Linked DNA regions of Callithrix jacchus. The protein of the gene in region 1 purifies or fractionates together with the protein of each later gene. This does not show direct contact. Links are inferred from orthologs where the notes say so. Each region holds a gene or a part of one and is shown in the gene's direction. Other genes may lie near its edges.

The links.
Region 2: the proteins of FBXO38 (region 1) and CUL1 purify together in Homo sapiens (affinity purification with mass spectrometry; 4 studies listed by BioGRID, with this or other methods). This does not show direct contact. The link is inferred for Callithrix jacchus from reciprocal best matches to the Homo sapiens genes FBXO38 and CUL1.

Annotation. Positions count from the first base shown.
Region 1 is NC_133503.1:47,061,582-47,065,663, forward strand, and holds the start of FBXO38 (F-box only protein 38), read left to right. Parts: upstream 1-1,134; 5' UTR 1,135-1,251; intron 1,252-4,082. UniProt on the Homo sapiens protein: Substrate recognition component of a SCF (SKP1-CUL1-F-box protein) E3 ubiquitin-protein ligase complex which mediates the ubiquitination and subsequent proteasomal degradation of PDCD1/PD-1, thereby regulating T-cells-mediated immunity.
Region 2 is NC_133512.1:98,927,726-98,931,381, reverse strand, and holds part of CUL1 (cullin-1), read left to right. Parts: intron 1-521; coding exon 522-639; intron 640-1,694; coding exon 1,695-1,771; intron 1,772-2,262; coding exon 2,263-2,394; intron 2,395-3,656. UniProt on the Homo sapiens protein: Core component of multiple cullin-RING-based SCF (SKP1-CUL1-F-box protein) E3 ubiquitin-protein ligase complexes, which mediate the ubiquitination of proteins involved in cell cycle progression, signal transduction and transcription.

The DNA of each region.
Region 1 (4,082 bases):
AAAAAAACCCTGCATAAAAGTGGATCCATGAAGTTCAAACCTATCTTATAATCTAGAGATGATTTAAAATATACAGGAAGATGTGTGAAGGTCATATGCAAATACTATGCCGCTTTATATAAAGGACTTAAGCATCCACAGATTTTGGTTATTTACAGGGTACTATAACCAATCGCCTACAGATACTGAGGAAACACTGCACTGTACTCTGTGTGTGTGTGTGTGTGTGTTTATATATATATATATATATATATATATATAAATTCTGAGTCACACTCTGTATCTACCAAATAAGAATCTTGACATTGCTGGAGCAGAATTAGAAGGCAAACATGTAAATTTTGAAAACCTTCCCCAGAATTACTCATACTAAGTTAATCTTTTTCACATTTGTTTCTTGCAAAATAAAAAGCAGAATGTACTTCCATGGAACTGAATAATAATCAAACCATCAAACAAAACAATGTTAAATCATGCTGTCATACCACAGTTCTATAGACTTCTAATGATGAAATATTTCCCCCTGGAAACCTTGGTCTTTGATGACCTGATACTTTGGTGTTGATGTGATTTGTCCCCACCAAAATTCATGTTTAAACTGACCCCCTTTGTGGTGGTTTTGGGAGGTAAGCCTAATGGAAGATGTTTGGGTCATTAGAGTGGATACCTTATAAGTAGACGAATGCCCTCCCTCAGGGGTGGATGAGTTCTAGATCTCCTGGGGATGGATTACTTCCCTAAAGCTAGTTACTTAAAAGTTTGACTTTCTCAGCTTCTCTTTCTTGCTCTCTCCCTCAACATGTGACCTCTTTGCACAAGTTCACTCTCCTTCCATTTTCCACCAGGAGTGAACACAGACTGAGGCTCTCAGCAGAAGCTGTGTAGATGGCAGCATATGCCCCTTGAACTTGCCAGCCTTCAGAACTGTCAGCTAAATAAATCTATTTATTTATAAATTTATAAATTCAACCTCAGGTATTCAATTATAGCAACACAGAGCAGACTAAGACAACTGGTGACTTTGCCTTAAGTGCCACATGTAAATAGATTACTTGCCAGGTGACTTCATAATGGGGTCTGAGGTTCTCACAATAGAACCATAGCCTTAGATTCATCAAGAGAACTCAGCCTTTAGGGTTTTGCTAGAAAACTCTGGATGAAGAAAACTCAGGTGGATGAATCACTGTTCCTTATGGAAAAAAAAGATGAAAACATTCTTTGTGGTTATCTTGGCTACTGGCTATTTTTCATGTAAGTATTTGTTAAAGAATCTTGGGGAAAGAATACACATTTGATAGTCTAGGGGAAGTAACAAGCCAACAACTGCTTTCTAGAGGTTGTAATCTTTGAAACTTTGAGACTTTTCTCAGAGATGAAAAATTCACCAACTTAAATAGAGTAACTATCAGTGGTTTAATCCTTTTTTTTTTAATATTCCAAGAATTCTGCCATAGATAGCTCAGAACTGAGATATTTTAAGGAATGATCTATGAAAGTTGTACTCAATATCTGACTGATAGTTTGGCCTTCTGAATTGATAACCAATTTTGGCTCTGCTCCCTCTTTTTCCTAATTATTTCCCATCATAATCTCCCACGCTGGTATTTTGTTATGTTAGCCTGTACACTGAAATGCAAAGCAGTGTCAGCTTTTTACATGGCTTACTATTAGAGCACCACCAGATGTTAGCGAATTCCAAGAGAGGACTCCGCTGTTTCTAATTAACACCAACAAAATGGCACCAATAAGGTAAGCCCATGTAAGACTGAATCTGCTAGCTGAATGGTACATGTAGAATGAGGAGGCAAGGAGAAAGCTCAGCTGCAGTAGCTGAAAGAAGTCAAGGCTCTCAAGTAAAACACAAAATATGAAGGTTAAATACAGTGTTAATAGTTTGGGTAAATTGATTTTGACACAGAGGTCCCAAGCAAAAGAGGCTTCCTTGTATGCTGGCTGATTTTAGAAAAGGGGTACATTCAAGGTGCAATAATCTGAAAACAATAGCAGATTATCTAAGATTTCTGTCAATAAATAACTGGGATGATTATGAAGAATGAAACCTCTCTCTAAAATAAGACTAAGAGATGTTTGAACAGCTCAGCATGGACGATACCACGGAGCCCCAGAGGATGACGCTTGAGTTTAAACACCCACTGCCTAAGGTCAACATTAAACCTAGGAAGAGGATAAAGTTGAATTTCCAGGTAGGACGTTAAGGAGAAGAAGGAAACAGTGTTTGGGAAACAGAAGACGTGGCAGGATAAACAGTGTATATAAAGAAGCCACTTATTTTTTCATGACTTTCATGGTTACTAATTTATCTGTGCTTACTTAATGGGCTAGTTAGCTATTCACATTTCAACACTGAATTGTTTTATTTAATCTTCTATTCTAAATATTTTTATTTCAGATATTTTTGCTAATAGTCCCTTTAAGGTAATTTTGCCACTTCCTGCATAAGAATAATCTTTCTAATCTTAGCCTTACAGAATTTCTATTAGGCTGAACATATAAAATTGCCACTATCTGATCATTTCCAGTCTACATAATGGCAACTTCATACAGTTCTATTTAAATACCTCAGTCAAAATAGGTACTCAGAAAATCAGGACTCATCTCTCGGACTCTTCCTGCTCCTGCCTTCCCCAGATACCACTGACAATTCAATCTGTTAATTTTTGTTTTTTAACGAATTTTCTTTCTTCTTTCTAACTTCAATACTTTTGCCTAGGTTAAGTCCTCCTCGTTACCTGCCTATATTGTTGTGATATGGATCTAATGCATCTAGATACCATCGAGGGGTCTCCTTGCATTTAGTCTGATTCAGGAGTTGGCAAACTATAGCCACCTGTTTTTGACAATACAGTTTTCTTGGAACACAGGCACACTTTTTAAGTACATTATCTATGGCCGTTTTCAAGCTGGAAGAGTTGGGTTGTTGCAACAAAGGCCAAATGACCTAAAAATCATAAAATATTTACTACCTGGCTCTTAACAAGAAAAGTTTGCTAATGCCTGCTCTAATTTCTACAACCCTGAGAATGACTTTCTAAAGTGCAAATCTAATTGAGACTTCTCCTTATTTAAAACAGTGACTCTCAGTATTTTCAGGGTAAGTTTTTTGCATGTTTTACCATGCCCATCCCGCTTAACCCAGACTCTTTCTACCTAAAAGGATAACTTCTTTAATGTTTAAACTATTTTGGAGTTCATGCTATTCCAGTTTTGTGTCTTGGTGCATGTAATTCCTTCTAATTAAATATTCTTCTTTCCATATACATATTCAATTTTCAAAGTTATTTGTATCTCTTAAAAGCTCTGCAAAGCATCTAGTCTTTGGTAAAGCTTTTCCAAGTCTATATCATGTAGACTAAATCATTAAAAGAGGAGCTAACATACAGTGTTTCTCCAGAGTGATTTGAATGCCATCTGATAGTATTAATAATAACTTAAGTTAATATGCCAATGAATCTCTTTCACTTCAATAATTGCAGCTGTTCTTTAATCTGTTAGAAAAAACGATGTTTATAACTTCAAACCGAGGATATCATGGACATTCACATTTAGGACAAATCTAAGATCAGTAGGCAAATTTAAAAAGTGAGCCAATTAAAAGCACAATATTTGTAAAGAAAAATGACACATGAATTTGAAAGGAATCATAAACAAAGTTACTGAAATTTGGGAAACATTGCTGTGATGAGAGCCAGTGAAGTCCTGTAGCCTGACATACTAGAGAAATTGATACACCACAATCTGAACTACGGGAGTAGGAGACTGTGTAGCTCATTCCTAATCTCCTCATTATATAACAATTGTAAACTTTCCAAGCCTCCTCCCATTCATAGAAAAATAATTCTAATATTCAAGGTCCTCTAATTCTGGTGATATTGAGAAACGCAAAATAAAAGAGGAAGATTTAGGAAAATATAAACCTGGTAGTTTCTTATAATTCCAGTATCCTAATCCCCAGAGGACTTTATAAAGTATACCCAGTGCCAAAGTGGGACCATAAATTGCATCCTTTTCCAGACACCACAGTTAAAAGGGAGAATTTGATGAACCAAAATGATTCCAGAGGC
Region 2 (3,656 bases), on another chromosome or scaffold:
TCCTGGGGCAGGCCCTCTTCCTGCTTTGCAGGCAGCCACCCACCTTCTTGCTGTGCCTTCACGTGTAGAGAGTGCAGAGCTCTTGTGCATCTCTTACAGCCACACCCATCCCATCGTGAGGGCCCACCCTCAAGACCTCATCACCTCCAAATAGCATCGCATTGGAGGTTTGGGCTTCAACATAGGGATTTTGGGGGGACACAGTTCAGTTTCTGGTAAGAGATAGTGACAAATTATTTCATCGTTGTATTCTACCATAGTGTCAGAATACCTTGGTCTTACATGCCCAGAAATCGCGTGTGTATGAACTTCACTGTACAACATAGATCTGTGGGGTTTTTTGAGAGTGTGTTAATTTTAATCCATGCATATTTATACTGTAACATAGAACAAAATGTGGCTAGCTTTGCTAGTAGTTCCGTATAGTTAAGTATATGTGGTGTACTGTGATTTCTCTAAGATTCCCTTGTGTACATTTGTATTTTTGTACAAATTAAGACAGTTACCTGGGTTCTTTTCAGCAAGCTTGTGGTTTCGAGTATACCTCTAAACTTCAGCGGATGTTCCAAGACATTGGCGTGAGCAAAGATCTGAACGAGCAATTCAAAAAGCACCTGACAAATTCCGAACCCCTGGACTGTGAGTACCTGCGTGTCTGTGCCTTGCTCTCACAGGCAGAGTTCTTTGTAGCAAACGAAGAAATGACAAAGTATTAAGTAAAGACGGGAGGGGCTTTGTCAGAAATTCAAGAACTGAGAAACAGGAGATTCCTCCCAAAGGCGCTTCCCACCTCCCCCAACTCCTGTGTGACAGTAGGAGATGGCGATTCCTGAAGCACTGTCAGCTCTCCTGCGGCAAGGCCACCACCTGTTGGGATCTAGGGGAGGACCCACAAGCTGGGTTTCCTGTTGAAAACCTTAGCTTGGATCTATTCTAGCACTCACTTGGCCTGCGTAGGTAACAGTCAAGCTGAAGACTTGTGGCTTCAGATTGGGATTAGGGATCAGTAGAGGCAGGGTGTCGGGGTTCATTTCTCCAGGAGTGGCAGCTGGGCTGGTTTTTAAGGTCTTGCGATAGCAGTAGGATAGCAGATTTCTGCTTACATCATCTTTTGATAATCTTTGTCTTTTTAAATGAAAAATGGAGAACTTTATTTTTTCCAAACCAGAAATACAATTCCATTGTTAAACTGGACAGTTCTGTCAGTTGGCTTTTTAACTATCTGCAAAGATGAAATTACTGTTATAATTTATAGATCACGTCTGTCTTTTCACAGTAATAAGTGATATACGCACTGTAATGAAGTTCGCGGTCTTCTGCTTGTGAGTTTCTGTGAGCTTGGGGCTGTGATGATGCTGGGCCTGGCAGGCACAGGCATGGCTCGAGTGGACTGAGTGATTCAGGACAGAAAAGCAAAGGAGGGGAAGCAGGGCAGGCATGTGACAGCAGAATTCCAAGATGGAAGCAAAATGAAGACTGTCACTCTTTGGAATAAAAGAATATCTGGCTTTTGCACCTTTTGCTAATTTTAATTGAATAAAATATTCAATTCTTAATTTTATATTCAAGGAGGATTTTTATTTAATGTGCTTTTTAATAAAGAGCAACACATTTGAAATGATTGATTTTTTTCAATTTATAAACCAATTAATGGATTCCAGAATGTTCACTCTCCCCTCTCTTCCACTCCCCAGTGGATTTCAGCATTCAAGTCCTGAGCTCCGGGTCCTGGCCCTTCCAGCAGTCTTGTACATTCGCCTTGCCATCAGAGGTAAGGACGGGTTTGTCTGCCGTCCCATTAGTGCTCAGTGGAGGGTGGGGCAGGGCGGCCTTCGCTGTCTCGCTGTGGAAGGGGACAGGCCTGCAGCTGTCCTTCCTGCCCGCTGGTTGTGTCACAGTGAACCGCAGGGGCAGCACTCAGGGAAGAGCCCTGTGTGGTGGGGCAGGTCTGGGTGTCTAAAGGTGGGCTGTCTGTTCCAACCCTACAGACCTGTCTTTATCTTGTAAAGTAGAACGTAATTCGTTCTGTAATGAACACCTTGATGAACCTGCTGGTCTTGAAGCACAAACCTTTTTTAAGATTGTACCTTCCAGTGCTTAAAGTGCTTTACAAGAGAGGCAGACACCACCTGGGTTTGTATTTTACTTTCATGTAAGCGTTGACTTTGCACTGTAAGCTTGGAACAGTGCATTTCACTTAGAAAGGCTGCCTGTAGGACGTCGTGAGGGCTGTATTCCATATAACGCTGTCCTTTCCTCTAGCTGGAACGCAGTTACCAGCGATTCACAGCTTTCTACGCCAGCCGCCACAGTGGCCGAAAACTGACATGGTTATATCAGTTGTCTAAAGGAGAACTGGTAACTAACTGCTTCAAAAACAGATACACTTTGCAGGTAAGATCACCTTTATATCTCAAAATTGTTTTCCATTCTAAGTGATCATAAGGCAGATTATAGAAATCATTATCAGCCAACCCAGCAGCAGAATCTAGAGTGCAGCTTCTGGAGGAATAGTGGCGAGTTTCAAGCATGGAGTTGTAAGAGTCAGATGAGCCAAATTCCAGTTCTTTCTGCCTGGGGAGCAAGTTATTTAATGATTGTGAGCCTCAGTTTTCTCCTCCACTAATGGGGGTGTTAATGCTTATACTTGGGAGTTGACATGACAATTAAATGATGTATTTAGGAAGTGTTTGGCACGGCTCCTTCCTGACACATCAGGTGTTGGGTAGTGGCTTAAAAAGCTGGAGTCGCGTGCATTGCACTATAACAGCTTTGACAGAGCAGTCTCACATTAATAACACTCAGTGCTTACAGCAATATTGAGTACAAACTAATTGAAAACTATGAAACCAAGGATATGTCCATTTTGTAGATGAGAAGACTGAGGCTTGGGTTAATTTCAGTGAACTTCTCTGAATCCTAGCTTGTATGTTTCTGAGCCAGAATTTCAGTTAAGGTCTTTTCTCTTAAAGCCTAGGCTTGGCTGGTGTGGTGGCTCATACTTGTAATCCTAACACTTTGGGAGGCTGAGGCCAGAGGATTGCTTGAGGCTAGGCATTTGAGATGAGCCTGGGCAGCATAGCAAGACGCTATCTCTAGATATTTTTTAAAGTAAAAAGAAAAAAAAAAAAGTCCAGGTTCTTTGTGCTTCCACTTTTGTGCAGAGTGGGCTTTGCAAGTAATGGCATATTTTAATCTCTGGTTTCACCGGTCAACTTCTAAGAACAATCGCAGGTCTATGTTTAAATATTAAGAAACTTCACAGTGGGTTCTACAGACTCAAGCTGCTCATTAATTTAAACTTTTGGTAACTCTACTCTGATTTAAAATTGTTAAAATGCATAGTATTGTTATGCTGGCTCCAGAGGTCTTTATCAACTTGAATGTTTCTTAACTATACAATTGAAATTTTGTTTTATATATCCCAAATATACAAAGAAGAATCTGTGTGATCTACTGTAGTACCTGGAATTTCAGTGCCTGGTTTTTGACATGGCGGAGGCTTTAGCCTAGGGTGTGTCTGCCATGTTAAGGCAGCCAAGAGCTAGCCCACTAGAAAACATTAGCAACACACTCGTTGCCTTGTATCTCTGTTCACGGCCCTGGAAGCACCACTGTCTGTGGGCCTCCCCGAAACAGGCATGTGATGTTTTTTG